3 linked regions of the Drosophila melanogaster genome follow. Changing the gene in region 1 together with any one later gene gives a genetic interaction. Each region holds a gene or a part of one and is shown in the gene's direction. Other genes may lie near its edges. The genes, in order: put, NiPp1 and anchor.

The links.
Region 2: of put (region 1) and NiPp1, changing one enhances a phenotype caused by changing the other (phenotypic enhancement), as found in Drosophila melanogaster (one study listed by BioGRID).
Region 3: of put (region 1) and anchor, changing one suppresses a phenotype caused by changing the other (phenotypic suppression), as found in Drosophila melanogaster (one study listed by BioGRID).

The regions. Positions count from the first base shown.
Region 1 is NT_033777.3:14,616,768-14,629,695, reverse strand, and holds put (punt), read left to right. Parts: upstream 1-3,992; 5' UTR 3,993-4,450; coding exon 4,451-4,496; intron 4,497-6,023; coding exon 6,024-6,209; intron 6,210-6,276; coding exon 6,277-6,453; intron 6,454-7,392; coding exon 7,393-7,538; intron 7,539-7,606; coding exon 7,607-8,422; intron 8,423-8,482; coding exon 8,483-8,662; coding exon of another isoform or gene 8,663-8,674; 3' UTR 8,675-10,666; downstream 10,667-12,928. Other genes in the region: CG7886 (uncharacterized protein), read left to right, coding at 1-77, 155-345, 414-590, 741-915, 965-1,427, 1,486-1,930, 2,009-2,686; His4r (histone H4 replacement), read right to left, coding at 3,271-3,402, 3,467-3,646; CG14853 (uncharacterized protein), read right to left, coding at 11,675-11,802, 11,862-12,392, 12,450-12,521, 12,687-12,744.
Region 2 is NT_033778.4:17,003,063-17,012,270, reverse strand, and holds NiPp1 (nuclear inhibitor of protein phosphatase 1), read left to right. Parts: upstream 1-7,121; 5' UTR 7,122-7,212; coding exon 7,213-7,241; intron 7,242-7,303; coding exon 7,304-7,518; intron 7,519-7,573; coding exon 7,574-7,788; intron 7,789-7,849; coding exon 7,850-8,420; intron 8,421-8,480; coding exon 8,481-8,602; 3' UTR 8,603-8,708; downstream 8,709-9,208. Other genes in the region: Ehbp1 (Eps15 homology domain containing protein-binding protein 1), read left to right, coding at 1-319, 455-657, 723-1,117, 1,736-2,008, 2,098-2,770, 3,329-3,425, 3,486-3,674, 3,735-3,816; CG6805 (uncharacterized protein), read right to left, coding at 5,156-5,482, 5,764-6,510; AsnRS-m (Asparaginyl-tRNA synthetase, mitochondrial), read right to left, coding at 8,733-9,208.
Region 3 is NT_037436.4:17,618,040-17,628,248, forward strand, and holds the start of anchor (anchor), read left to right. Parts: upstream 1-3,784; 5' UTR 3,785-4,263; coding exon 4,264-4,454; intron 4,455-8,068; coding exon 8,069-8,358; intron 8,359-8,453; coding exon 8,454-8,593; intron 8,594-8,653; coding exon 8,654-8,985; intron 8,986-9,047; coding exon 9,048-9,213; intron 9,214-9,275; coding exon 9,276-9,515; intron 9,516-9,573; coding exon 9,574-9,765; intron 9,766-9,825; coding exon 9,826-9,979; intron 9,980-10,017; exon of another isoform or gene 10,018-10,164; intron 10,165-10,209. Other genes in the region: Vps60 (vacuolar protein sorting 60), read right to left, coding at 2,256-2,318, 2,380-2,610, 2,690-2,855, 3,062-3,213, 3,271-3,339.

The DNA.
Region 1 (12,928 bases):
GCTCCTAACCGAGGCGCTCCACTATGATCTCGTGCTCCAGCAGCTGGTGGTGCGCCTGCGACGCACATATCCACAAAGTAGGTGATCTTTGGTAGTCTGCTACTCTGTATGGAATGTGAATTATACCATTTCGTTTATTCATTTTTTTCGGCAGCCAACATTGATCCCATTGACACCGAGAAACGAGCCCGACTTTTTCGCCAGCGGCCAGTGATCTATACTCGCTTCATATTCAACAGTTTGGTCCAGGCGATTGCCAACTGTGTTTCGAGCAACAAAAATCTAAGTGTGTTGAAGCTGGAGGGATTGCCATTGCAGGATGGATATATCGAGACCATTGCCAAGGTGCGTTGAAAAGTTTTGCGGTCGGGATCACGTTTCCAAGTACACACATATATCCAATCCATTCACAGGCACTGGCAGACAACGAATGCCTCGAATCAGTGAGTTTTCGCAAATCCAACATTGGCGATAAGGGCTGCGAGGTGGTGTGCAACACAGCCAAATACCTGAATCGCATCGAAGTGTTCGACCTCTCTGAATGCGGACTTACTTCCAAGGGAGCCGAGCACGTGGCCGACATGCTCAAGGTAATCTCTTAATCCCTGTAGATCTTTTTCTTTCTTTCTAGAAATATATCCTGGCGTTTTCAGTAGTATATGATGAAATTCCATTGCATATTTTTATTACCCTTCTTAATGGTCTTCCTATAACTGCGTTTATGTTTTTTATGTAATCAGATGCAAAAGATCACCCGTTTCACGGAGGGATGGGAGAAGTCCCTCCGCTACCGTAGCGTCGATGTGAACACGATTGGCGGTCTGCGCACGGTTTTGTTGGCTGACAACCCGGAGATTGGCGACGTGGGCATCCGGTGGATAACCGAGGTGTTGAAAGAGGATGCTTGGATAAAAAGTACGTAGAGTCCGAATAGTGCGATCCATACAGTTCAAATACCCCACAGAAATCGACATGGAGGGCTGCGGCCTGACGGATATCGGGGCAAATCTAATTCTCGATTGCCTGGAGCTGAACACGGCCATTACGGAGTTCAATGTGCGAAACAACGAAGGAATCAGTAAGTTCCTGCAGCGAAGTATCCATGATCGTCTTGGCTGTTTACCAGAGGAGAAACAGGAGCCAGAGTATGATCTCAGTTGCGTCAACGGGCTACAGAGCCTGCCCAAGAACAAGAAGGTCACCGTCTCTCAACTGCTGTCCCACACCAAAGCATTGGAGGAGCAGCTCTCCTTCGAGCGAACGTTGCGCAAGAAGGCCGAGAAGCTGAATGAGAAGCTTAGCCACCAGCTCATGAGACCCGACTCCAATCACATGGTTCAAGAGAAGGCCATGGAGGGAGGATCACAAACGAACATTTCGAGGGAATATGTGGCGCGGAATGATGTTATGCCAGAAGTCATCAAAAAGTGGGCTAGCTCTCAATTCTCAATTCAATGCCTATCTGATTTGAGTATTTCTTCACAGTTCCCAAAGCTACCGCCAGTCGCACTTCAACCGGCTGGTCAACAGTGCGGCCACCAGTCCCGAAGTCACACCCCGCAGCGAGATTGTCACATTGCGCAAGGAGCAGCAGCTGCAACGTCAACAACCCCCACCAATGGAGGTCAAGCATCTTTCCTTGGAGCAGCAAATCCGAAATCTGCGCGACGTGCAGAAAAAGGTGGACTTGGACGTGGAGGAAGAGGAGGAGGAGGAGGAGGAGGAACAGCAGGCGGAGGAAAGTCAATCCGAGTCGGAGCCGCAGAACGAGGAGCAACAGCATTACGAACAGCAAATGCAGGTCCAACGCAAACATCTCCAGGTGCGCAAGGTTCGCAGTGAGATTAAGTATGTGGAAAACAATCCCAAGGAGGCAGCCAAAAAGAATCGCGAGTCCAAGTCGGACCATGAGTTTGCCAACGAGAGAGATGTGAGTAGTATCCACAATATAAATTAACCAGTACTAGCAATTTATTCTCCTGTACGATAACCCATCTTATCCCCACAGTTCAAGCTTAATCCCTCTGTTCAATTCGAGACGGACATTGGCGACAATGTGATGGTCAATCCTGGCCACCGATACGAGGGCGGCGGGGGCGATACGGCCTATGTCTACAACTATGAGCATGAGCAGCAGCAGCAGCCAGTCAAGCGGGGCTACGAGCACGGCTATGTGGTGGGCGTGGGTGACGGATCCCACAGGAGGCAGAGGCAATCTCAACTGGTCGAGGCTTTGGTGCAAAAACGTGTCCCAGGCGCCAGCGATGGACATGTGGCGCAGTTCGTTAGCAATCTGGAACGACAAGCGAATGCTGGTAAAACGGGGAAAAAGCGCCTTAAACCTCGGCCTGAGGACGATCTTCAGGTACCAGTCGGCGACATGCACATGGAGTCGTCGTATATGTCCCGCTCCGAAGAACTCTCCTCAACGGACGTTACGCTGGAGAACTCAGACTACGAGACGGAGGCGACGGACTCCACGTTACTTAGTAGCTCGAAATACTCCTCCATGCATGTCTTTGTGCGGCGCAAGCAATCGGAGTCCATGTCACTCACAGAAGAGGCCGGCGACGGAGATGCCGGCGGTGGTGGAGGCTCTGGCGATTTCGGCGACCAAAATGTCATATCCCCGGCCAATGTCTACATGTCCCTGCAGCTCCAGAAGCAGCGGGAGCAGAGCGCCTAGGGGTCGTGACTTTAGGTTCCTCCATTCAAAATCCCCGCAGCCATTCGCAGCCGGAGCAGCGACACCACAGCTGGCTGATACGCCGAGCAGTAACAACAACAACACCACTACCACCACCATCACACCCACAACAAAGCAGCCAACTCGATTCGATAGGATCCCCACTGGGAGAGCTAAATTTGCAGTCATACTCCCGGGCAGTAGCAGTAGAAAAGGGAACCTGCTCCTTTTTGCACGTCCTGCCATCTGCGAATTCAAGCTGCACCAAAAATGTACAAAAATATACTTTGGTCTTACTAATTTCCATTAAAGATTTATTATTTGTGTGCTCCCTAAGCGAGTTTGTTGGACCTTATTTTCGGATGATTAACCGCCCCAAGTCAAAATGCACATATGCATGATATTGAGTTCTCTATGTGATATCTTTTGATTTATTTAGTCCGTATATTGTGAAATTATAAAATATTTGCGTTCGGTTAAGTTTGCGTTGAATACTACTGATTAAGATTCAATTGGATCAAGTATTTTGAATGTAGTTAAGTTAACTCCATGGTTATTTATTATGTGGAGGTTAGAGGGCGTGCTTAACCGCCAAATCCGTAAAGGGTGCGTCCCTGGCGCTTGAGGGCATAGACCACGTCCATGGCGGTCACGGTCTTGCGCTTGGCGTGCTCGGTGTAGGTGACAGCGTCACGGATAACGTTCTCAAGGAATACCTGTGAATTTTCCGAGAAATTAATCAGTTTTTCACCACTTTCCCTTCGTTTCGCCAGAACGTACCTTTAGCACACCGCGAGTTTCCTCGTAAATCAAGCCAGAGATACGCTTAACACCGCCGCGACGAGCCAAACGGCGAATAGCAGGCTTGGTGATACCCTGGATGTTATCACGAAGCACCTTACGATGACGCTTGGCGCCCCCCTTTCCCAATCCTTTGCCTCCCTTTCCACGACCAGTCATTTCTCAGTTGCTTCGTAAAGTTGGCTGAAAAGAAGAGAAGACGCAATAAACTGTAAAGCGACGCCATGTTTGGTGAAAGGTAAACGTTCATTTGACAGGTGAAAACTGTTGTTAATAAGTCTGTTTTCATACAAAATAATGGTCTCCAATTATTTTTTTTATGTTTATGCACAAAAAAACTTTGTTGACCGATTCTTCTATTATTTACTTAAATTTCTCAGCAACAAAACTCACTTCAAGAAATCTCCAGAAAATTGCTTGTGAGCGTGACCAGATCTCGCACACCTCAAAATACCTTTCGCAAAATGCGCGTATCTAGTATTTCTATTGTCTCACTACCAGCCCTGGTCAGTTATCGCCTATCGGCCATCGCTATCGCCGCCCCGTTGCGACAAAAAAGATTTAATCGAACCGAAAGACGTGCTCGCACTAAAATCGCTTGAAAACAGGCCCGCAGACCTGCGAAAAACGAAAAAGTGCAGCGCGCATATACTTTTTCAACTGTGCCCCTCTAGCTTAAAATTAAGTCGCGGCGAAAAGTCGAGTAAAACCCGCGGAAATGCGCATGCAAACGGCGTGTGGCCAGCAAAATCGCTGCCAAGGCACCGCACACACACTCGGCCACCCACACATACACACTTAGTGCTGTACTCGAAAAGTGCGAAGACAACAGGAACTCTGTGCCAAAATAATATTAACAGTACCCAGTTATTCCATTCCACTGCACCTGTCCCCGAAACATCGAAATATTCGCGTTACGTATACGCAACGAGTGCTGTAAACAAGTTTGCACAGGCGATAACAATGTCCAAATACGATCTGCTTTATCTAACGGCGCAGCTAACGCTGGGTATGTATTGCACTGCGAGTGTGTGGGTGCATACTTATTGGCGCCTTAATTCCCAGTCGCTTTATTATGTACATATGTACATAATATTATATTTTGTCTCTGCCTTACGATTTTCCTCTGTAATGCAAGCCGACTTCGATTTATAACCATTCGTGCGTGTGATTTTTGATGATATGGGGTGCGTAATGCTATTACTTTATTAATATCACATGGCGCTTGAAAAGTTCATATATAGGGTGTATAGGCTTTGTGATAGCTTTGTCCTATTAACCAACACATCAGAACATCTTAAATTTTCAGAAATTAGGTATAACGAATGTAAATGCTAGGAATCAAATCTATTTGTGAAGTGAATAATGTATACACTAGATACTCTATTAAAGCACCAACAATTGTACTACACAAATGTAGTAAAATATCGTAAGAATTGTTGACAGTGGGTACTACGAATTCATATGTTGAGCGCCAAACGCATACTCGGTATAAATCGATCGGATACCTAATTCCCAATCTTAATCCATGTGTGTGTGCGCTGAGCATTTCTTTGAATGGATTTTGCTGCATTAGGAACTTGTTGTATGGCAGGTTCTGGTTTCTCCCACCCTTTTGCTCCACCGGCCTCCCTCTCTTTCGCTCGCCATAGCCCTCTCTCTTTCTGTGGCGCAGTGCGCTCTCTTCCCTGTTGCTGCTGTTGTTGTTGTTGTTTCTGCTGCTGCTGTTTCCTTTTTCCGCACAAGCGCCACTTTAAACCCATCCCTTTCTGTGTGCATAATGTGCCTGCTTATGTATCTACTTTACTATAAAGCATGCACGCTTACGAACACACACATACATGGCCAGCGATCCGATTACCTAAAGGACAGTGGGACGAAAAGTGTTTCAAAGGATTGAAAACAGTTTGCTTAGCCAATGGTCAAGAAATATCAATCAATATATCGCAGGCTCGTTGCAATAAACGTTTTCAAAATTAAATTTTTTGTATTTACACATTTAAAAAGTGAATTATCATTTTAATTTTTATCAACAAAAATTTCGGTATTTGGATGAGGATCCCAGATTAAATCGAATTAAAGAATGTAAATAGATTTTCAAGAAACCTTACTGCAGGCCCACTGTGCACTGCATATCCGTGCATTGGGGCCATGCCCACTCAAAGGCTGGTGTGTGGCCAGTGGGGCTAATTCCGTGCCCAAATGGGGTGGCTTTCAATGGCAGAGGCCCCAGCTTAGGACGCTACTCCTGCTACTTCTGGGCATGCGATATGTGTACAAAGGATAGCGCCCACAAAGAGCTCGCTGAGCGCCCTCCCTTTCAGTCTTATTCCCCAAATAGGCTCGACTTTATTTGCCCACCCTTTGAGCACTTCCAACCGATAATTCCATTAACTTTGATCTTTAACTACGTTTTAACTTTTTGAAAGTCTTTACTCATGTTTTAGGACTGCTCAAATATATACTTTAAATATAGATCAGTGCTAATCTAAAACTAGAAAGATTATTAATCTATTTTCCCATTGTCTTCATTTAGTCTGCTGTCTGATTGGAATCCATGGATCTATTTTGCCCGGAAGTCATGGGATCATAGAATGCGAGCACTTCGACGAGAAGATGTGCAACACAACGCAGCAATGTGAAACACGGATAGAGCACTGTAAGATGGAGGCGGATAAGTTTCCCAGCTGCTATGTCCTTTGGTCGGTCAACGAGACAACGGGTGAGCCGTGCAGAAGTTGACGTTGTTTCAGGCATACTGATTAATTTTAATTTTTCCGTTCCCATAGGCATCCTGCGCATCAAGATGAAGGGCTGCTTCACGGACATGCACGAATGCAATCAGACGGAGTGCGTGACCAGTGCAGAGCCACGGCAGGGAAACATTCACTTCTGCTGCTGCAAGGGATCGCGGTGCAATTCCAACCAGAAATATATTAAAAGCACCACGGAGGCAACCACACAAGGTGGGTTCGGATCCGGTTTCGGATTCAGATTCGGTTTAACGTTTGCTGCTACTGGGGTTTTGTCTTTGGAGTGTTTACCCCAATTTTGTTATTTTTCCGTTTGCATATATTTTTTGTTTGTTTTTGTTATTTCGTTTTTTTTTTTTTTTTTTGTATTTTTACTGCATCTTCAAGTTGCAAAAAGAGGGCGTAGGCTTCGCCTACAAAATACCACTCCTCGCATCCGAGGCAGCGTTTTTCGTGTTAACGAACTCTTGACGCGAAGTGGCGCCCGCTCCCCCATCATTTTCTACATCCCCAGCCTCCAGCAACCCCTTTTCGGAGCCGCATGTGTTGCAATTTCTGCCCTCCTGTGCACGTTCGCTGGTTCGTTTTTATTTTTATAGTAAGGTACTTCTTTAGCGATCGGGTATAATGCGTTCGCTTTAAAGGATGCAACTGAAAGAGGTAGTTATTTGGTATAAATCCAATTTATTTCACTCCGATTATGAAGGCTTAATAGGATTAGACTCTACCTATTTTGAATGATACTTAATTGGCTTGCAGCCTTAACCCACAACGAGGAGAGTATCTGTTATCTAATACCAGGTATACAAGTGTCGAGTGACTTCATTCTAGCATCCTTTCTTGTTTTTATTTTTGGGGTGTTGCTGCTGCCTTTGACTTCGAAGCCCTGTGCTGCCAGGGCGTCTTTTGTGCCCTGCTCTTTGTTGTTTTGTTCTTGGGCCTAGCTCGCTTTTATCTCGAAACAAAATGAGGGGAAAAAGAGATGCGAAATTGGGGGCGAACTTTCGTTTTTTAGTTTTCGTTTTGCCTTTCATAGCAACCCCAGCAGCTGCAGGTGCATGCCGCCACTCGAGATGTTGTTCACCTGTGGCAAGGCAGCGTTTAAAGCCCTCTTTAATGTTCGTTCCCGTGTGTGTCCTTGTATCGTTGCAGTGCCCAAGGAGAAGACGCAGGACGGCAGCAATTTGATATACATCTACATTGGCACCTCCGTTTTCAGCGTGCTCATGGTCATTGTTGGCATGGGCCTTCTTCTCTACCGACGCCGCAAGCAGGCGCACTTTAACGAGATACCCACGGTACGTACATATCCTTGTGATGTTGCCGCAAATATATAATTTTAATTATGCAAAATTAAACCCTTTAGCACGAGGCTGAGATAACAAACTCATCGCCATTGCTCAGCAACCGTCCCATTCAGCTGCTGGAACAGAAGGCCAGTGGTAGATTCGGTGATGTGTGGCAAGCCAAGCTCAACAATCAGGATGTGGCCGTCAAGATCTTTCGCATGCAGGAAAAAGAATCGTGGACCACGGAGCACGATATCTACAAGCTGCCGCGCATGCGCCATCCGAACATCCTCGAATTCCTGGGCGTTGAGAAGCACATGGACAAGCCGGAATATTGGCTGATATCCACCTACCAGCATAACGGATCACTATGCGACTACCTCAAATCGCACACGATCTCATGGCCAGAGTTGTGCCGCATCGCTGAGTCCATGGCCAATGGACTGGCACATCTGCACGAGGAGATCCCGGCATCAAAGACCGATGGGCTAAAACCATCGATAGCTCACCGAGACTTCAAGTCTAAGAACGTACTGCTTAAGAGCGATCTGACGGCCTGTATAGCTGACTTTGGTTTGGCCATGATATTCCAGCCAGGCAAGCCCTGCGGCGATACACACGGTCAAGTAGGCACTCGACGTTACATGGCCCCAGAGGTGCTTGAGGGTGCCATCAATTTCAATAGAGACGCTTTCTTACGCATAGACGTCTACGCATGCGGCCTAGTCCTCTGGGAAATGGTGTCACGGTGTGACTTTGCCGGACCCGTCGGTGAGTTCCAGCTGCCTTTTGAGGCCGAGCTGGGCCTGAGGCCGTCGCTGGACGAAGTTCAGGAGAGTGTGGTAATGAAGAAGCTGCGCCCTCGTTTGCTCAACTCCTGGCGCGCCCATCCGGTGAGTGTGACTTCTGATAATGCTTTTAGTCAATGAAAATAACTTGTAACTTTTTTACAGGGACTTAATGTATTCTGCGACACAATGGAGGAGTGCTGGGATCACGACGCTGAGGCTCGTCTTAGCTCTTCGTGTGTGATGGAACGCTTTGCGCAGCTAAACAAGTATCCCTCAACCCAGTTGCTAATCAAGAACCACACCAACATTGACGACGCCAAGGAATCTACGAATTGCTTATAGAAGCGGTACTAAGCCACAGACCAGCCAGCGGATCTGTGGCTCTGCAAAAAAATCAGTTGAAGCTTTTTGCTTCGTAGTGGATAGTTGATCGTCGAGGTCGTAAGACGTTTCGTTTTTAGTTTAATAGTTTGTAGTACCATTATAAGCAGCTATAGAATGGGTTGATTTATACGAAAGAAGTCGTGTAAGATGTAACTTTTCCTAAGGGAAAAGCCAAAAGCTTAACATGCCAACGATTCTTTGTTATTATTTTCTTTAAATTATAAATCGACTCATTCGATGTTAACCCGAGTTCTTAAATCTGTTGGAAATGAGTGGAAACGTACACTAAGCAACTTTGAACAAAGAGCATTAGCTATGTCCAGAGACGTGGTAGTTGCTAATCCGACATTGACTTCATTGACTGATAACCATATATAGTTCTATATAAATCATACATATAACGTACAATTTGTTTTGCCCTCTGGCAGTAGCCTGTGTGCATATGTAAACTGTTGAAAATTATCGTCAAGCCTTTTAAAGTATAATTTTATTTGTACGTTATCGAATGTCTTCATATAGTAGTAGTTTTATATTTAAAGTTATTTTCAAAATAGATTTAACAATTTTAGTTTACTTTTTAGTTGTAACGTTTTTATTTCGCGCTCAAACGTGCATGCGTTTTAATGTTGTATTTTAAATAAAAATACTTTAAACTCCATCCTAACCATCTGATTTTTTATTATTTTGTCTGTTTTATATTTCTGCTTTTGATTTTTATTTTTTTATTTCCAAAACGTAGTGCCAATGACCCTCAGAAATCGCGTAAGCATAATAAATGTGTAATTATGTAATTGTATTCTAATTCTACTGGACAGTACAAGCAACACCTGAAGTTTTCAAAGGAAAGTTTCTTTTTAACAAGAATCTAACTTAAGCGCATATACATAAATTATAAAATATAAACTATACTCTTTATATATACACACAACACATACACGCATAGGCATACGGAACACACGCAGTCTAGCAGGTTTATATGAAGCACACGCTGCGACTCATCGTCAGCATAAAATCTAAACAAAAAAAAAATCAAAGTTAATATTCAACCCAAGAGGTATGCACACACTGTAAGAAATTAGAGCTAAACACAATGAGTAAGTATGTTAAACATTGTTAAACGGATAGTATGTCTTATAATGTTAGCCAAACAAGGTGTATGTCGAGCTATAGTTATTTAAGCTATAGTTTAATTAAGAGAGTCTTGGCGGAATGTATTATCTTTCGGGTTATTTGAAACTTTTTTGCGCAGCATCAGTTCTTATCAATGGCTAAGCATCTGAAATACTTCTGGATTATCAGTTAAGATATCAACTAAACACGATACACAACACAGAACAAAACGAAACAAACAAAGCTTCATTACCTGATTTTTTTGAGCAACTTACAACAAAAATAGTTTATTACGCAAACAAACAAAAACCAAACGACATAATCTTAATAATAGAACGAATTTTGTTATGCTGTATTTAATTTGTATATTTTCCATTGGTGCTGAAACATCATTACGACGAACATAATGATAATGAAGATAATAAGAAACGAATTCAAAAACAACCAGTATTTAAAGAGCGAAGGAATAAACAATTAATATTTAATCATAGTAGTTTGTTACATATCAGATTGCTAAATGGGATAGAGGAAGATAATATAAATCGATCATTTCAAAAAGATTTGCAGAGAAATTTTTATAGCATTATACAAGGCAATAACAAGCCAACAGCAATTTTGGTATATTTTTTAATGCATTTCATAAGTAAAACCAAAACGAGTTTATAAACAGTAAATTCATAAGAAAATCTTTTTAAAACACCCCATTTTCGAATATCATCAGCAAAGTTTTATAAAAACCAATATGCGAAAAACATATACGAGATGATAGCAAGTCGTGTTAAGAAGTTTACGATTAAAAAACGATCTTTGATAATAACGGATTTAAAATAAAAATGCAACTGTTTAATAAACAATTCATCACCGGTTTTTCCTTAATAAAAATCGACTCTATTCCAGCTTTCTTGCCACTTTTATTACAATTGTCTTCCGTAAACATTCAGACCTTCTGGATTATATAATTCAACAATACAGATAGGAAAACTTAGCCAAGAGCTACACATATCAGATACAAATATTTATATGAATAATATTAAATATACGGTTTATTACTGGGGGAGTTTTTAGAGTTATGTCCCTGATTAACTTATACAACGAAATCGAACGAATATATAGACTCTAGTACAGGCTTAATTGATACAAAATATATATATTTACAATCTTCTACGTAGTTTGTGACATTGGACCATTTCAGTTGTAGTTCTACGATCGTTCGTTCCATCCTCCGTCTGTTTTATAGACATATCAGACTTATCCTTGGCTTCGTAACTCTCATTCTTCTATATCCTGGGGAAAAAATCGATCTCTATCAAATGCAAAAATGTAAAGCATTCCAAGTCCTGTGCGTTCTGAATGGGTGTCTTACTAAAATATATACTTGTAAATCTATGTAAATCTATATTGATTCGGTTTCGCATTCCGTGTGTGTGTATAATCACCTAATCCTTAGCCATTCTCAGCTTACTGTATCGAGTATATCTTTATTGGGTTCTAGGCTTAACATGTACAATATATAATAGTATAAATAGGTATTAATGTATATATAAGTACTTATTGAGTTTGTACGATATGTTTGTCCTAGGGAGAAAACTTTGCAAGTGAAGATACAAGATACGAGATACGAGAGTATGCAGTTAGGGACGGTTTCTAGGTTCGTAAAGCGATCGCACTAGTGGAAAAACTAGCCGGGCAAAGGGTGGAGTGTGTTTATATAAATAGTTATACAAGAATATATAGATGCCCCTGTGCAGCGGGCAAGAAATCAAACATCATTCTGTAAGCAAATCGTCAGCACTATCCACACCAAAAGAATTTCTGCACAGTTTTGGGATTGAGTATATACGAGTATACACATATATGGTTTTAGTAGGTCTCATCTGACCCACCACCGGATACGCCGCACTTAGAGCGCAGGATGGCCGCCAGGCGTTGGGTGAGCGGTTCTGTCGGGGATTCTGAGTCGCTGCAGGAGGCGGAGGGTACTTTGTTGCCTGAAATGAAGGAATTAAAGAGGTCAATGTACGGAAATACTGATTAATCACACATATACCATTGCTCACGTCCAGGTCAGCTGCGGTGTTCTCCTTTAGGCCAAAGTTAAGGCTTACGGGCACGATATCGTCCTCCTCCTCCAGGAGCAAACTGGAGTAGGAATGTGTGGTGTTGTCGCTGCGTCCACCACCGCCGCTCGATGAATTCCTCGAGGATCCAGAATCGTTGTGGGAATGGGAGTGCGAGTGGGTATGGGAATGGTGTACGTGAACTGCTAGAGCAGCTGGATCCTGACCTGCATCGTCGATGGGCAAATCGAAGTCATCGCCACTGCTGCTGCTCTCCTCCTCGCCATCCATCACATCCACGTTGTCAATCTCATCATCGCCCCATCCATTATCCTCCTCCTCGGAACAATTGTTGCTGCTCTCGCTGCCATCGCCATCCGCATCAGCATCCCCATCCTCGTCAGCATCTCCTGCCTCATCCCCGTCCACGTCAGCCTCCACATCCGATGCATGCAGATCCAGAGCCAAGTCGGGCGATGAAGATTTATTGTAGTTCTCATCGCTGTCGCTGGATGTGGCCACTGGGGCAACGAGATAAGTATTAATTGACTGACCACACTGTTCATCTGCCCACCTACCTGCCCGCAACTTGTCCAGGATGAGGGGATAGAACTCTTTGGCCGTGGCGTTGTCGGGCTCGTATTGCAGGACTGCATCGGTGCGTATAAAAATATAAATTATAAATTAAAGAAATTATTACATTAAAGTCCCAAAAAAAGCGATTTCTCTGTCATATTCGAACAAAAAAAAGTTGTAATTGCAACTCTCGGAAGCATGGTGACATACTTTGGAAGCTGATTTTGTATTCTACTCACTCAATTTGCAATATTTCAATGCCTTTTTGTAGTCCTTTAGCATCACGGCGGACAGGAACTGCAGGAGAATCGAGAAACGCACAATATAATACGCTGCATTGCACAATACACGTTTAAGGGAATGCCAACAAATCCTTTTGAAATTCTCATAACATCTCAACAACAAAGGCTTATATATGTATCTACACCCCCTTCCATCTCGATCTACTGGCCCACATAGTGGGTAGGACAAAAAAGTTGAC
Region 2 (9,208 bases), on another chromosome or scaffold:
CCAAGCGCCCTGAACTGCAGCCCCTAAATCTAAAGAAGAGTTACGAACCCTCGCAGACACCTGAATCCGCACCCGTACCCGCATCTGTGATAAACGAATCGATTGGATCGTGCTTTAGTACGTCTGGCTCGTTGAACAACAGCCTTAAGCCGGTGGAGAAGATCGTGCTGAAGGAGAACACGCCCGGGCAGGATCTGCTGGAGTGGTGCAAAGAAGTTACCAAAGACTACCCCAATGTTAAGGTTACCAACCTGACGACCAGCTGGCGCAACGGCATGGCCTTCTGCGCTATTATTCATCATTTTGTGCCGGAGCTCATGTGAGTTGTCATGATTACGTTGAATTTCTTATTGAGCACTTTATTTACAATCAATTGATTTATTACAATTCCAATTCTAACTTTAAGTTATAATAACGGGACTGAATAAACTAATAAATGCATTTCAATTCATAGTGACATGTCTAAGCTGAGCGCCCATGACGTAGTTGGCAATTGTCGAATTGGCTTCGATGCGGCGGAATCATTAGGAATACCTCGTGTAATCGAGCCGCGCGACATGAATATGCTCACGGTACCGGACAAGTTGGCCGTGATGACCTATTTGCATCAGTTGCGGGCGCACTTTACCGGCAAGCAGCTAAAAATTGAGCAAATCGGTGAGCGAGTTCTTAAAAATGGTCATTATAATATAACATAACATAAATATGCTTTTTTTTTTTAGGTTCAACGGCAGACGAGTCGAGCTACGTTATTGGAGACTACAAGTCGGACAATTTGTCGCAGAATCGCATTAACTTTTCGCACCCCAAGTCGTTGTTGCTGCATCAAAACTCATTCGATGAGGAGATAAATGGTTCAAATAAATCGGAGCAACTTTCACCCACAAGCAAAAAGGATGTGAAGAATTTGATTCTGTACAACTCGAAGAATATTCTGGACAAGGTGCTGTCGCCCACCAAGGACAAGAACTCGATCAACGCATCGCAGCATGCAAATCAATCGCCGATGTTGAGCTGCCAGACAACACCGCCGCAGGATGAATCACTGGATAAAGGGTCACAACCGGGTGGCAAGGAGAACAGCTCCATAACCACCATTGATCCGCAGGCGGCCAGTGTGAGTAAAAAGCCAGCACCACAGTTGCCTCGTTGAGTTGAATTTATGCATTGAGTTGTTGCTTTGGCTTTGGCGATTTATTTATTTATCTACTTAGCACTTTATTTCCTAGACCTTTTCAGTTTTGTATATATTGTTGTTTTCTTTATTTCGCTTTATTTTTGATTTGATTTGTAGCGAATTTTAACGCGCCACAAGATGATGAGCGAAAAAGCCAAGCTGATGATGGAAAAGCGAAAGCTTAACAAAACCAGCGACGCGAACGACGTAAGTAGCTTCTTGCTTAAGCCGCAGTTCGCCGCACGAAGCGCAGCTTATCTCTAGCATGTCTTGTTAAGTTAAAATATCTGATTAGTTTTAAGAATTTAAATACATTGAAAAACATTTTTTGAACATTTTTATGTATTCATTGTTTAGAACATTACTTGTTTTGTTAAACTTGAAACTTGTGTACATGTGGCACTCATAAAGTGTCGCTCTTTAACAATTATCTACACAGATTTTGTTTCACTTTTTAGGAAAACCTCTCATAAGTTTTATAGTTCTATATTTTGTCATACAAAGGTGCTGCCTTGTATAAATCCTCACTTAGTTGTTTCAATGTGTTTGCCCCGGCAGGAGGAGAGGCAGCAGCGTCTGCTGGAACAGGCTCGTCGCCTTATCCTGGAGACTCGTGTGAAGAGCGGTGGTTCCATCGAGAGTCCCACCAGGCCCAAGCTGGAGCGCACCATCTCGCCGATCCACAACGGAGCCGAGGAATTCTATGCGGAGCACGCGAAAAAGCTGGAGCTTAAGGAGCCAGGCAGTCCTAGTCATAGGTTAAGTGATCCGAAGGTCCTACAGTCCTTCAACGCAATCGTGGAGCGCGTCTCACCAAAGCACGAGAAGAGGGTAAGCCTAAAACATACAATTAGTCTACTTTGTCTTTCATCTTGATTTAAATTAATAACTAATTTAAGTCATTTTCGCATCGTTTCCAGGGTGACAAGCTGTCCTACATCGATTCCGAGCTGGAGGCCCTGGAGCGGGAGCAGGAGGCTATCGACCAGAAGGCCAGCAATCTGGAGGCCAAGCTGCGCGCCGTAATGGGCGGCAATCCAAGTAATAATCGTCGGGGTGGCGCTAGAAACAGCAACCCCTTCCTTAGGCTAATCCGAAATAGTATTGGTGGTGGTGATGTGATACGTATTAAGCTGCTCGATTCGGATGACGAGAGCCTTTTTGGTGGAGGTGCCGGTAGTGGTGGCGGTCGGAGCGGGGCGTGTAGCGAGGACGACGATAGGGACACGTCCAGCGATAGTGTCTGCAACTCAGGCGACGAGTTGCACACGAGGCTACGCCCCCGGCCACGCTCCCATTCGTGCTTTGTGAACAAGAACCATCAATCGACCATCAACACGCCCGCTCATCTGCGCCCGCATCATGTACATCACGTTGTGCCCTATACCCACATGCTAGACAGCTCCCCGTCGGCGCTCTCCTCGCAGCAGTCTTCCTGTGATAATCTGCCTGCGTGCAGCGATGATGACGAGGTCCTGGCGGTGGCGGCCAACGGTCGTGCGGCCTCGTTGCGGCGGCAGCAGGATCGTCATAGGCGACGCCGTCAGAGGCGGGAGCGGCGCTCCCATTTATGTCACACTCCCAATCATTGTGGTAAAGTGCGGCCCATCCTATCATGCCTGTACCATTGAGCTGCCCTGCTAATTGCTAACTGCCAGAGCACTGCCACGCCTCACCGCCTGACTGCCGATCGCCCAGATCTTCCGCCTGCTCGCTCGCTCGCTCGCCTCTTTCAACCGCATCCACTCGCTCATTCTTTGTGCCGTTTGTTTGTTCCAATTAATGTCTGTGTTTGCTTGTTAACTTGGCGGGCAACCGTTCCAACTTGTGTCTAACTATGTTCGGACTTGGTTCTAACAGCTCCGATGATATAACGCTCACTAATCACAGAGTCCTCCCTCTGCAGCAGCTTTTGAAAAAGGCAAAGGACGCCTTCTTAGAATAAAGCAAAGCACGAAGCGCCTGTTCTGGTATTGCCTATTTCAAAAACTGTTTTAAAATACTTAAGCCACTTATGTATGGTTGCGACTTATGTAGAAAATCAATTTCAGTAGTATAATCAGAACAGGCAGGCTTTAAATAATCTTAGTGCTTCACAAAGAAAACCCCCATCATTGCCTTTTTATAATCAGACACTTAAACATTCCACAGAGACCGAGGAGACAGAGGAGCAACTGCTATCGCAATGGTTTACGCTGGTCAACAAGAAGAACGCACTCCTCCGGCGACAGATGCAGCTAAATATACTGTAAGTTATCACTTAGAACTACTATCGGCTTTGTTTCTTATTATTATCTACACCCTTCAGCGAGCAAGAAAAAGATTTGGAGCGAAAATATACAATGCTTAATCAAGAGCTGCGGGCGGCGCAATCTGTGGAAGATTGGCGCAAAACGGAAGTTCAGCGTGAAAAGGAGCGACTGCTGCTCGAGGAACTGATGACGATTGTCGACAAGCGCGACCAGTTGGTTCAGCACTTGCACAACCAAGAGATAGCGTAAGTGAAGCACTTTTCCCATCATTAAAATATACGAAGCTAACCCTCGGACTCGTTTAGGATCGAAGACGACCAGGAGATCGCGAGGAAACTGGAGCACGTGGACATCAGTGCTGAAAAAGACAAATGTGTTCTTCAATAGAAATCGAAATTAACCAAACCTGACTGGAGATTATACTTACACACACTCAATCTTATCTATGTAACTAGTTAGATAACAACTATGTTCAGAGACACGCGATAAGGTCGCGTGGTTTTTGTGGTTCGGTGTCGCTTCTTATGCAATCGTTATATCCAACGACAACAAATACTTGGACCACTTGGTATGGTTATTAAAAAAAAAAAGGTATACTGTGAAACAAAACAAATTGCTTTTGTATTTAAGCAAAACAATTCAAGAAATAAGAACAAAACGTCCGTTAGTGAACTAAGTAAAAAGACAGGCACACGTTTATACACCTATTTACGATAATCAGATCTTGGTATTACTTTAAATTAAATGGTGGTAACTTTGTTTCATGTTTCGTTGTTGTGCCATCTGAACCACTCCTAACTTATGTAAATCCTGAACGCAATAGCGATGTGAGATAGGGAATTGAGGAGGCAATTTTACGTTAGTTTTACTTTAGCATTTATCCCACATAACTAGAAACGCTTCATCCAAAAATACACGTACACTTATATATTTATGAATTACACTTATACAACAAACCTATCTTAACATACCTTATTTAGACCCGTACATTTGCTCTAAGTTAAGCAAAGCGCTTTAATCATAATTTAAAGGTGGCTTATATACTTATATAAAATACATTTTAATTTACTTTGCCCAGGCGAATGTTGTATAAAGAACTGTTCGACCCAAGGAACATTAATAGCTAATAAAAGAAACGAAAATGCTGTCATCAGCATCGAATAAACCCAAAACCATTCTAAGAAGTCTTATCCGTTGTTATCTGGGAAAGTTACTCCAATAACAAAACAAAAATGCGTCATATCGATTTATTTATTTTTTTGTATTAACAGGTTTCTCAATACAAATACTTAACAGAGTATCATTTTAATTGACTCAGTAACAAAAAAGATTAGTCACGTCGAGAGGTAATAGTTTTTTTTATTCGATCAACAGTTTAGTGTACAAAAATACATTTGTTTAATGCAATCAATCGTTAAATTAATATCGTCTTAATTGAGTGATAACATATGTATGTATATATACTCGGAAGCTGCATTATTTCCATGGATCACTTGAGAATTGCTTAAATGATTGCTAAATTAGCAGAGATTTCATCACATTGTACTTGATATTATTTTCGTTTCTCTTGTTCCTTCTGAAAGGAAGTCTTTTAATTACTCTACAACTCGTCTACGCATATAATCTAAAAGCATGCAAAGAGATTTAAAAGTTCACAACTAAGTGACGTCATGACGGCGCTACCATTGCTCTAGTTCAGCGATAAATAACTACAAAAGAAGCGAAATCAAAGTTGAGTATAGGACACAGCTACAAAAACAACAAATGCGAAGGATAGACTAACATTTGGCGTCGCCGGAGATGAGGCAGATCCGTGCGTCATTTCGTGGAGCTCCTCGTCGGTGTAGGTCTGGTTGGCAGCCTCGACCTTGTAGTTGAATGTCGCCGATACGGGCTTGTGGTCGGAGAGAGTGTAGTCCATGTGGGACTGATAAGACAGCTGGTTGGCACTCAGGGTAATGCCCGGATAAATGTTGCTCTGCACGCGATGCAAAATCCGATCGCACCAGGCGGGTCGCCGCTTCAAGTTGTAGTCATTAGTGCCTTCCACGAACTGCAAGGAAAATCAAATGAACTTTATATGGGTGCTAGAGATAAGGCGAATTAATTACATTCGACATATTGCCTCATAAATTAGTTGGATTTTGCTTTTCTCATGAAATCTGTGGAGCCGAATGAAGTGATTGATTGATGAAGTGATTGGCGGAAATTAAAAATTCAAGTGCAGATAAAATTAATTACACCCACCCCTATATACATTATTTAGATTAAGATTAGAAAGTTCAAGGCAAACTTTGACTGTAGAGATAATAAGATTGTATATTAGATTGTTACCTTAAAAGTGGGCGCAAAGTTGGGCTGCTGCTCCTCCAGCAAGCTGAAGGCGTTTCCCTTCTCCCGGAGCAGATTCAACTGGTCGAGCTTGAGCAGATCAGCGTATCGCTGGTTCTCCACATCCGTGCGGACATCCCAAGCGGACATATCGCCGGAGAGACGGAAGTTAAGATCGCCAAACCAAAAGACAAAGTCGTGATCGAATATCCGGCGATATCCCTGCGCATTGTACTTGTGATTGTCCACGATTTGGTGATAGTCTTCGATGCGCTCCTTCAGCTTCTCATCGTGCGCCGCCAGATGGGAGCAGACGAATGCGACGCCAGTTCCGTAGAGCGAAAGTCGAATGCTTACGGCACCCTTGTTGCCCCACAGCCCTCCAAGTCCCGTGCGCGTGGCTTCTGTCTCGATTTCTTTCATGTGCGGGATGTGCTTGTGCTGTGCGAACATGGTTATAAGAATTCCCTGCAGCTGCTTCGAGTCCACCTTTACGAACTGGTGATCGCTCAGAGAGTCCGCGATCTTCAGCACCCACGGATCGTCATTGAAGATTTTTAGCACCTGCGGTGTGGTGCTCACCTCCTGGAATCCGATTACATAGATATCGGGCAGCTGGTTATCCGGACAAGTGGTGGTGCCATTAAGGGACAAAAGGGAGCTCAGATCCTGATTTCGCGGCGTATGGGTGCCCACGTTCCAGGTCAAAAGGAAGATGCACAGATCCGCAATCGCCGTGGCCGTAACCATTTTTCCGCCGTCTAATTATCTATGATTAATACTTGTTGTTTTGGACGTCACAAGGTGGCTGTTGATGAGTTCATGGGCATCCAAAACAGGTTTACGGATTTGGCAGCATCAGCAAATAAAGCGAAAGGCGTTTTGCACACGCAACTTTCATTTATGTAACCGTTAATTCTTCAGCACTAATTTTTTAAGCCGCTTTAATTGGACTAGGAAGCGCTAGTTGCCCGTATTATTTATAGAATACTCAGATGTCGTTATTTATGTTTATTTGTCCGTCCGTTGCGTGAGCTTAGTGTGACCGCAGCACAACTATTTAAATATACCTTAGGCGGCGGCAAAAATTTTATGGTATCTCGATAGTAACGGAGCTCTGAAGCTCATCGAAAACATCGGCTAACATGAGCTTCTCATCTAATTTAGATTTTTATTTGAAACACATTAGATATTATAAAAGCCAAAAATCAATTTAAGAAATATAAAGATATAAGATTAAAAGTTGTACTGTGCGTAAGTTCCTTTAAAATAATAATACTCTTATTTCATTGTTTTTTTTTTTACGCGAGAATGCCCCTTTGCATTTGCTTGTGCTAAACCGATATTATCGGCAACTAGTCAATTGTGTGTACACACTGGCTAAGGATTTTTCATAAAAATAAACACTTTGTATAAACTTACCTTCCGAACTATTTTACTTAAGTTAAAAGTATGGCTAACAGCTACGACATACCCAGTTGGTGCGTTGTCAAATTCAGCCGCTGCCTTGCCACAAAATCACGTAGCATTTTATTTATTTTAGGGCTGGAAAACCGCCCACTGGCTTACATCTGGATGTGCTAAAGGACGACAAACTAGTACAAAAACTGATGGTGGATGAAAAAAGATGCTATCTATTTGGTCGCAACAGTCAAATGAACGACTTCTGCATAGACCATGCCTCTTGTTCGCGGGTCCACTCGGCGTTTGTCTACCACAAGCACCTCAACATAGCCTACCTCGTGGATCTGGGGTCCAGTAGGTACTAAGATATCTGGGATTCGGAGTAAGCTTATCCATTTACTTTTGACAGCTCATGGCACCTTTATTGGAACACTCAGATTGGAAGCGCACAAGCCCACACAGCTGCAGATTAATAGCACCTTCCACTTTGGGGCTTCTACCCGGAACTACATACTCAGGGAACGACCCTCTGGCCACCACAGCAACATCATGGAAGACCTGCCGCTCAGTGAAACCAGCGATGGAGCTCTCCTGGGCCTACCCGAAAGCCAAACGGAGCTTGATGTGCGTTTGGTTGAAAAGAAAAGCTAAATACTATGTAAACTAACCTTCCATTATCCTGCAGAATCTCACAGAATACAACACAGCCCACAATCGGCGCATCTCAATGCTGGGCATCGATGATGATACCAATATGCGAAAGCAAAACGCCTTGAAACAGGGACGGCGCACTCGAAATGTCACATTTAACGATGAGGAGATTGTCATCAATCCTGAGGATGTGGATCCTAATGTGGGACGCTTCAGGAACTTGGTACAAACCACTGTGGTGCCCGCCAAGAGGGCTCGCTGCGACGTCAATCATATGGGCATCCATTCGGGCAACAGCAGTTTGTCCAGTGCCAATGCCGCACATGTACACCAAATGTTCCAGCAGAGCCTAGTTGACATGAAGCAGCAGCATAGGGAAATGCCTCCGCCCAATGCGGTGCTCCACTCGCCTACTAATTCCCTATATCAAGGTCTACCGGCCGAAATGCATGGCAAGGGTGACCTAGAGCCCATCTCCCCGCTGAGCATTGGTTCCAAGTTGGGCCTATTGCTCCCGAATCCTGCGCCTGAAGTGCTGCCAGTCTATGACGAAGCTGTGGAGACCTCGACATTGGCTCAAAAGTTGGCCGTCGCTAATGCAAACGGTAATAGTTCTCGCGACTATTTGTTTAAAAACTTACTGATTGTTTATAACACCATTTTAGTTCGTCGCTTTGGTGAGGATCCGCATGACTCGAGTGGCGAAGGCGATTCGCTGTGCCCACAGAAAAAGAAATACGCCAAGGAAGCATGGCCAGGTCGCAAGCCCATGTTGGGGCAGCTGTAATTGCGTATTAACAAAATAATTAAGATTCCACCTACGATTTTCTCAAGCATATGATTGACAACACACTCTGGAGTAATATTTGTTTATTAGACTTTTAACGTAAAACAAAACATTTAATATCTTTATCTGATCACATCTTGCAGCTGTGTGGATACCTGGGGAAGGGTATCACATCACGAATGTTTTTAACGCCCGTGACAAGCTGCAAGTAACGCTCAAAGCCCATTCCAAATCCTCCAGTTGGAACTCCTCCATACTTTCGCAAGTCAACGTACCATTCCAGATCCTTCGGCAGATGCGGATGGGATTTTAATATAGCAGGATCGCTTTCACGCAGGCTCCCGCCGCATAATTCTCCAACAGCTGGCATCAGTAGGTCTAGGGCATGAACTCGATTGGGATTTGAACGCGAGACTTTCATGTAAAAAGGTTTCTGCTGAGCTGGCCAATCCACAACGAATACGGGAGCACCACAATGGGCCACTAAAAAAAGTTCTTGGTCCTTGGAGAATCCTTCGTTCAGGCTAATAGGAGTCTTAAGACTGTCCTTGTTTTCCTGCAGTACTTGCAGGGCTTCATCGTAGCTCATTATCTTCCACGGTACTT
Region 3 (10,209 bases), on another chromosome or scaffold:
TTAAATATGTATTCTTATTGAAAAAGTTTGCAAGTCATTTCAAATTAATAATGCATAATGACATTCCTACAAGTTTGATATGTGTGGAGCTCTTATCAATGCAAAGTGTGTTAGAAAATTTAACACCACCTAAACTATATTACCAATTGAAAATATTATATTTTATATAATGCAATCTCGTAAACAAAGCAAGCGTTTCGCACATTTTCTTTGAAAACATGTCAAATACTCGATATGTTAACAAAGAAAAGCTTTTATTAGTACTAATTCTATAATATAATTCTAGTACACAAAATGATCCTGCAGATTTTAGCAACTATTATTAAAGGATATTTTCGCTGGAGGCGCAGGCATTTTTCCCACCCACTTTTCACCCCGATCTTCTTCCTCCTAAAATTTTCAACACTTTCACGAACTTTCAAGTATGTAGCTATACATGCGTCTATGTGCAATGTATGTATGTGCACCGATGACGAAATAAATAGAGAGCTTTTTTTTGCGCCATTCGCTTCCTGCATTCGAGGCAACTCCGCTGCCGCGGCGAATGCAACGCTGCGTATGAGCGATCTGCTGGTCGAAAGGAAAACAAGGTTCTGGAATTAGTCACTTACCATCTCAAGCAAAAGTAATCCAATTGGCGATATATCCATAATGTTCCGGCAACGGCAGAAAAAAATCATATACCCTATTGCCTCGAAGTTTCTATCAGTTACTTTGCGATTTATCACTTAATTTCTAAAATTCTTGTGTAAATATGTATAAACTTTCAGGCACTTTTCTTTATGGGGGCGGGGGCGTGGTCAGGGGAGGGCGGGAAAAGCCGACCAAAGGCTGTCAGATGCCACCAGATATTTGGATTAATTAATTGACATTTTAATCATCACGCTAAGGCCACTTGAACAGCGAGATTTCTTCGCGCGATTTTTGCTGCTTCAGAACTCTTTGTAACGCATTTTATTTGTTTGATATTTTGGGATTGCACTTTTGATCGGTAGCAAAGCGTTTAATTAGCGACGCGACGGCGGCGACGACGACGGTGGGCGGGAAAAGTGGGCGGGCGGGCGAGCGGGCGTTCTGTCGGTTGGCGCGAACGCTGCAGTTACAGTTACGTTTGAACAATTGATTTTTGTTGCTGCTAATTTGTTTTGTTGTTTGGTTTTTGTTATGCGTGTTTGAAAAGCGAAGGTTTTCCTCTTCGCATTCGAATCGCTCGAATCAGAGTTGGGGCAAAATTTGCGACTGTCCGTTACAGCAGTCAAAAGACAACTAAACGGCGAACAAGCGTATTTTTGCACACAGGCACTGCGCTGCACTGAGACCCGCTCACGCACACCAGCGCACCTCCACCTCGCGACGACAACGGCAGAGAAACGCTCAAGTTCACGCTCTGAACTTCAAAGCTCGTTAGCGTAGAGAGCGCAAGCGAGGCTAAGAGAGCGGAATGCAATTGCAATTGCAGGGAGAGCCAAAGAGAGTAGGGAGCTACAGTGCATCCTCTGTACGTCGAAATTGTGGGAAATAGTTTTTGTTTTTGCGTACTTTATTTCCAACAACACCTTATTTAATTTCAAGGCCAAAAAATATATTAACATTGCTTTGCGTTCGATTAACGCTAAATCCATTTCAATTACAATGCGGCGGAAACTCATTCAGCAAGTATTCTGCTTTCTCAAAAAAGTAAGCAGTACATTATACTCACTTTTATACTCAAAAACTTACTTAAATTGAAAATATCGTAATTCAATGGCAAGCTTCTTCTTACCTGTTCTGCAAGCTCACCAAATTTTGTTTGAAATGAGTTTTTGACTTAAGTGTTTATCACGTATACGTACAGCTGTACATCCGATCAAAAAAGGGTCAAACTATTTAATTTACAATTTAAACTATATTAATTGATTTAACCGCTGGATAAAAACTAAAGAACGAATGTTTCATTGTTAAAATTTTTAAGCACAAACCTAATAAATAATAAATAATAATAATTTCTTTCCCTGAATTAAGTGAAAGTTTGAAGTTGAAATATATTAATGTTTTTTCACTATATATATTAACTTTCATAAATTAACCAATATAATGCGTCATTAGTGTGGCGTGATAACTAAACGGCTATTTATTGAAAAAACAAATGGTTACAAAAGTGAGACTTGAGAGGGAATCTTTGATGGCTCCATTACACATAAAATATACAAAGCGTGCCCAAGGTTCAACAAAGGATAAAGAATGGAAACATGAGAGCTGGCAGCTTGGCAGCTTGCCTATGTGGTCTTCAGCGATGTCGGAATCTTGGGCAAGCCGAACTCATCCGTTTCAATGGTGCTCTGTAAGAAATTAGCTCGTTAGTAAGCAATCAAGCTGCTATCCATATAAGCAGCATTATACCTTTCCAGGGACGATGCTGTCAGCTCCCGGCTCTCGACTCGGCGCCTCCGGAGCCTTGACCACGTCATCCAAATAGCTGGTGTCATCGTCCAAGGCAATCTCATCGCCCAGAGCATCCAACTCGGCCTGCAGGTCGTCGTCATCCACCTCAGGCATGCCGTACGTGCGGCCCAGTGCCTCCTGCACCTCGTCCGCCTGCTCAAACATATCAGCCATGTCGTCTTGGATGTCCTTTAGGCAAAAGGATAAAAATTAATTTATGTTCATATTTCTGGGACATTTCCATCTCTTTCCAGCTAACTATGCTTACCTCGATCTGGTCGATGTTGATCTTCTTGTACTCGGTCTTCATCTGCTTGACTCCATCCTTCATGGCCGCCACGGTGGCCTGAGTATCCTTCAAGGATTGCGCCGCATAGTTGGCCTGTTCCATGTTGAACGACTGGTTGCGCAGAGATTCTGCCTGCTGTTCGTAGCTGTGTAGGAAACAAATAAAGTTCAAAATGGTTTAAAATACTCATTTAGAACAGGACACAATAAAAAAATTGATTGTGGATGTAAATTTCATAAGGTAATGGAACTTATAGATTAGGAAATGATAATTTCAAATGTCTGGAGAAGAGTAACACTGGAGGTTTGGAATATAATCGATACTAGGCAGTGGGTGGGGCATTGAACGTACGCCTTCTTTTGTTTGAGAACCCGGAGGGCCTTCTGTTTCACGGAGTTCTTGGCAGGACCTTCTCGCATCTTGGACATTTGTTCGCGGTATTTGCGCAGCTCTGCCTCCAGATTACTGATCTTCTCTTCGATGTTTGTTGCTCGGGCATCGACCTGTTGAGTGTAATAAATTGTTATTTGCTTTGTTTTCTCCATGATTTCGACACTTACCCCGGCGATGCAATCGTTTAGACTTGGACCCGGCTCCTTGGGCTTACCACGACCAAAAAGGCGATTCATATTGACTGCTTTATTATTTTAACTACAACACGCAAAATTTATGGGAAATTTGTGGGTTTTCCACTTTAATTCGTTCTACAAATTTTGTTTGATGACTAATTGTCTTCTTCTTTTTCCTATACCAATCAGCTGTTTGGACCGTACAGTGTTGGTGGGCAGCACTGTTTGGCAGGTCTGTCAACCAACGACTTATTGTTCTTAAATGAAACTGTTTTTATTGTAATTTGGAAAGATAACTCATTCGAACTGGTTTGTTTAACTGGTTCGATATTTAGCTTATATGTCGTTCAATTTTAGGAAAAACTGTGTAAATAACAGATATTTTAACGGTCTCTTTGTAGCACTGCCTTAGTATTTTTGTTTGGTATTTTCATAACATATAAATGGTGTATTTTAGTACATTTTGGTTGCCCCGCTGGTATTACTTAACGACCGCGCTGCGGTCCCACCATTCGCATTGCAAATTAAAAACAAAACGCATCGGCGGGCGCTTTTGAGCTCTTAACTACGTTAATTTGCGCAAATTAATAAATTCGTTTAATTGCCAAAAGCAAGTGCTGCGGACTCAAAAATCAGCAATGCGTCGTTCGAACAGATGAAAGTGAAATCAGCCTGCCGGGCATTGCGATTTTCGACCATTTTCGACTATTGAAGGAAAATAGAGTGCTAATAATACACAACAACAACCATCAAATTGGCAAACAAAACTGCGTAGATAAGCGATTAAATAATAGAGCAACATATTTGCCAGCAACATAAAGTAAAGGTCGGCGAAAATCCAATAAATCCGCAGCTGGCCCTTTGACGTCACGGCCCATCAGCTGCTTGGCCCACCGGAGCACCCCACTTTTTCCGCTATGACGCGCAGAGTCGCCCACTAACAGTGAACTCCCACGCTTAGCAGCCACTCCACAGTAGTCCCCAATGGACAGCTCCATGTACTACGCCAGCCAGCGGATTGCTGCCAGCACAGAGGCTAATGTCAGAGTCATCACCTCGACCATGGCCTCATCTTTGGCCAATGGAACGGCGACGCCACGCGCCGACGACGGGGGCGTATCCATGAACAACTTTTACCCGGCGTTGGTTCAGTGTTTCGGCATCATCATTTGCGGGTTAGTAGATATATTGGGGAACTTCGCACCTAGATAGTGGTCCCACGCATCCTTCCCGATAAGATTACCCGTATATTCCACCCCAAACACAAAAACACCAGGTTGCTCGCACCCCTAAAGCTCATTTGCAAGCCTTTGTTTGATTTAGGTACAGCTAAACAGCCCTAATTCGGTTTTATTTACTTTATTGGGCAGAACATTGTGTACACTTTTTATTAGCAAGCTCACTAGGGGACAGCACAGTAGTCATAAACCAATAATAAACCAATTTAAATTATTCTCAAAGGGAAATTATAGCTACCACTGAAGCAAAGTAATCATTCTTTGCTAAAATATCAAAAATAGATAGTTTTAAGGAAAGAAACAAACATTCTTAGGAATCTTAAATAATCTTGAAATACCACTCTTTAAATGTAAAAAACTACCAATAAAACGTTTCAGTTTGCTTAGATATTCTTAAAAGATAGATAGTTTGAGTAATTGAAGTTACAATATAGCTTGCCACATCCCACGTAGGATCCTAACTCGAACGTATGTATTTCACCCCTTATCGCAACGATTATGGGGAACGTGCGGTCACTTGTACAGTGACCAGCACTTATGACGGACACCGTCTCGATTCAGTTTCAATTTCTCTGATTTGTTTTCACCCACTTATCAATTGACACTCGAATTTTATTATCTGTGGCAAACTGCTGTCTCACTGTCTGTGCGTACTCCGATTCAATCGTTTGTTTCTTCAAACAAACTCAGCAATTATCCGAAATCAGCTAAATTAACTTTTGTTATTTTTAGAAACGGAATTACCCAAAAGAGATTTATTCGGGTTTAATTAGGCTTTTCCGCAGCAGCAACTAGCCTAATATTCCCCATAAAATTAATTTCGATCTATTATAAAAAGAGTTGCCTAATGGCCAATGCCTATTTGTTGATTAGATTTTGTCTCTATTTCTTTAATTTATGCTGCAGTTCTTTTAATTGCTGATGCATTGCGAAAGAATGTTATGCTAAATTTGTTGGCGTTTGCAAAGGTTATTTGAATTACAAAATTTCCGATTAGTCATTGCAAGTCGGTCGTTAACTGATATTGTTTGATCATTCACGTGAAAATCCAAACCTTTGAAACATTATGTTCCGGCTATTTAATAGGGAATATCTCTGCTGGCGTATGCTGGAATTTTTCCCAATGTTTAACCACCGATTTAGCAGTTATAATTAGAGGCGGTTTCATAAATCTGAACTAATTCCCGCCGGTCGTGGCACTTTTCCTGGGAAATTGCCGTGAAGCACCTATTAACTTTGACATACAAAAAATTGCTCAATAACAATGGGGAGCGGCATATGTAAATTGTAAATTTGCGCTGCTAGCTCCCATATCAATCATTATACATGCATCTAAGCCGAAACTTAATTGCCAGTGGGCAATAATCGAAAGTAAAACGTTTAGAGAGTGCGAGAAAAAACGTACAAAATCGGTATAAACAATTACAGCAATGACCTTGCAATACAGCGTAAACAGTATCGAGCCACTCCACCTGAGGCAATATTTGCACCTTTTTTGTACGGATTATGCAACCGCAATTACCGATTTGTCTACCGACCACTGCCAATTACTGGCGATATGCATGCCCACCCAAAGATCCACCGCCAGGCAGATGCACCTCATCCAACTGTTCAAGCAAACAGCTACTGATATCGCCTATACAAACTCGACTACAAAGTCGGATGCGATTATATGTTATTTAACTGCTCTCCCTTCGCGTTCGTTGGCATCTGACTTTAGAATTTCGTTCTGCACTTGCAAAGCCAACTGAGGTAATACCCTGCCTTTAGTCCTTATCATTATTCGGCCTTTAAAATGTAAATGTAATTGAGAAAAATAGATTGCTTTAGCTCTTAGACTTATCTATAACTGATTTGATTTTTGATTTTTGTAATAACTCAATTTCGTATGGTAAATATTTCTCTTCAACTTATTAGCTTTTAATACCTCACTATTTTCTTTGAAGTACAAATTCCAAGTATTAGCAAACGTAAATCATATCCCTATGTCAATCAAATGTCTCCCCAAATGCAAATATTTATCACCCTTTTGACACGCTGTTATGAAAGGGTAGCGAAGAGATGCACATCGCTTCCAGTTTTAAGTGCTGCTCGTAATGCAATTAAAGTTTGTTTACGATTGTTATCGCATTGAAATTATATTTAATCATTTATTTGATGAATCTTTGTTGTGTGTGTTTTCGCTGTGAGAATTTGATTGACTCGCTGTGATCATTTTTCTTTATGATTTAGGCTGGAAATAACCTGATAAGCGCTACCAATAATACAGGGGCTATAAACACCTCGACTCGTTATGGTTTTAACTGTAGCAATAGTTTGATAATAGCATAGACATTCGCAGGTGTTTCTTCATCGGATTCTGGGCGAGAGTTGCCCAACAGGTCGGTTCGCAGTATTAATAATATAATGAACTTGCACTTTGTTTGGGCACGTAAGATGAATATTTGCGTGCCGATCCTCACAGTTTGCCAATTAAGCTTTACTTCTTTTTTAGAGGTATATATGTATGTACATTAATGAGTTTTACCCGGTTGACTAATTTGGATTTCGTTTCTCTCGACTGAGTTTCTAGAACACTTGTTTTGCTCAACAGATAAATGAGCGAGATAAATAAGGAAAAAGTTTTTGACGTTTTCTGTTTAGTCTAGCTTTTTGTTTATGTACAAATTCTGTGGACAGACCTTACTCACAGACAACAATTGTTAAAACTTGTATTTCAGACCCAAGGGAATGTTAAAGTGGAGACCCATATATAAGGCTTTCATTCATTACTATTTTTATCAAGTATTTTCCTGATTTCCATCTTATAAATATAAAAGGAATTTCTTAAGAAAAGGGCATGAAGAATTTCTCTATATTTGCTTAATAAAGAGACTGTAATTTCATCTTCCGCCCTTGTGGCTCTCGCATAGGCACACTTCTTTATCAGTCATGTCTTGTAACCTCTTCCACGCTAAATAAAACATAGATAATGTCTACAAGGGTTTCGCATTCCTAGGAAAAAGCATTCTCACAGAAACCTATGACACATGGCGCTTCGCAAACGCAGAAGCTGAGTTCTGCCAATATTAACAATAGCAGTCTCGCAAATCTTAAGGAGATAAGAGCTTCCCCAGGTTATTCCCACAACATGCAGTGAATGCAATAAATCGCGTTGAGTCATAAGAAAAGGTCGCTAAACTAGTTCGTTTAAGGCAGGGGGAAGTACTCCCTACTCCAGATTAACAGACAAATTAATTTGTCTCGTCGAATGTGACAGAAATACAGATTTTCGCTCGAAAATAAAAAACGTTTACAAATCTTTGTTAGCCAAGAGACAGTCCGAAATAAAACTGGTTTACGAGTGGATCACGTGTGGGGCTGCGGTGAATGTATTTTATATGCATGTAGAGTACACTGTACATATTGATTAAGAGTTTCCGCCTTTCCGGCTGGCTGGGTTATTAGCATTAAAAATATACGCCTTTTGGTGAGGGGGGCGTGGCCCGACACGCCTTTACAACATGATTAGTGGTGTAATGTGTTCCCCTTTTACTCGCTCCTTGTTGCAGTTACATTGCCGGACGCTTCAAGATCATCAGCAATGCGGAAACCAAGGGTCTGGGCACGTTTGTGGGCACCTTCGCCCTGCCCTCGCTGATCTTCCTGTCCCTGGTCGAGCTCAACTGGAGCGCTGTCAACTGGAGCTTCCTTCTGGCCATGCTCGTCTCCAAGGCGGTGGTCTTCTTCGCCGTGCTGATCATCTCGCTGCTGGTCGCCAGGCCCCTGAACTACGCTCGCGGCGGCCTGATGGCAATATTCTGCACCCAGAGCAATGACTTCGCTATCGGCTATCCCATAGGTGAGTTCATGTTACAAGAACCTGGATATTGCATCTAGAAATATATGCAACTTTATATAAATTCAATTTCACCTAACATTCTATTTTTCCTTCAGTTATGGCTCTTTATAAGGATGTCCATCCGGAATATGCCTCGTATCTGTACCTGATGGCTCCTATCTCACTGGCTATTCTAAATCCAGTTGGTCTGGTCCTCATGGAGATCTCCAAGATAATCAAGAACAAGGAGGATGTGGTTGGTGTTTATCTAAATCCCTCTCTCTGCAAATATACCACAAGTTCTTATTCTTTGCAGACCCGCAATCCACCATTGTGTCCAGAAACTTGTCCCGCGGAACAGATGTCCAAACGGAATCGCTGCCTGGGTGAACGGTCTATACTGGTTTTCAACACCCTAATTGCACTGTTCTTTAACCCGTTGCTGCTGATGACCTTGCTGGGTGTTGCAGGAGGATTCCTGTTTCCCAACGGTCTGCCCGAAATGGTGTCCAGTACGTTGCGTGTTCTTGGCCAGAGCTTTTCGGCAACGGCCTTGTTCCTACTCGGTCTTAAGATCGTAGGTGGGACAGGATCCGAACGAAAGAGTATAGGCTTTCTATTGCCTGGTGTTCTTATACTGGTTAAAATGTAAGTTTCCTTCTAACTATATATTCATTCAATAGATCAACACGTGTACTCTCATTTCACAGATTGGTGCTACCGCTCGTAATCCGACAGACGGTAAACATTATGCAGTCTGGCCAGAACTTCAACGACACCACCGAGCTGAGCACTTTTGGCTTTCTCTACGGCACCTTTCCAGCTGCCCCCGGGGCTTTCGTCATTGCGACACAGTACAACATGGAGGTTGAATTGGTAATTGAATTGAAAGTCAATTCAAATCCACTTCCCATTATTTATGTATTCTCTTCGTTCAGGTTGCTCGAAGCATGGTTTTCTGTACATTCATCTCGGCACCGCTGATGTTTATATCAGCCAAAATGATATCGCTGACGAACCTGAAGCCATTGGACTATCTCCATGAGCTGGATGCCTTTTCGTTTGACATCAGCGTGGCCGGCGCGGCTGCCTGTTGTATCATGCTGGCATTGTTGATCGTGACGAAGCGCTTCAAGCGTATGCCCCAAAGAATAACTTTCTGTCTGGTGCTTTCTCAGGTAAGATATTATTATTAAATACTCCAAGAAGTTTGTTTATAAAGCATAACAATTATAGCTCATGTGCTGCATAGGAGTAATCCTCTGGTCCAAGATGGAGCACGTGCACCGTTGGCCTTTGTACCTGCAGTTTCTTCTATTTAATATCGGAACATACAGCACTCGTCTGTGGACTGGTCTTTTGGCCATTTCATTGCTCTTCCTGCAGTGTCGCAGCTTGTGCTTTGTGCTGAAACTATGGCCCTATATGGTAACTAAATGTGATTATAATGTTACAGCCTGATTTGACGTAACTATTTCTTTCCTTTAGTTGGTGTTTGCCTGGGGTGTGCCGGCCGTATTATCTGCCCTTTTGATTGCCTTCGACTCGAATGTGATGTCGGGAGAGAAACACAATCCGAGCTTTCAGTACGGAAATGCTCAGGCAGCCATCTCGGTGTTTATGCTCGTTATGTGCTTTATAGGTAATGGAAAAGAGTATTTTAAGAAGACCCTTTGAATCAAATAATGATGATAGACCTATATGCATTTGAAGAGTTAATCAAAACCTGTCGCGTCTTTGGTTTAGGTTTGGTAAAAGTTAATAAACCATCCTGAGCCACTTATAGACAGTTCCTAAAATGATGTACCAAAAGTTTTCAATCTGATACAATTAATGTTTCTTATCTCTATATAATCATATATAATGTTTAAA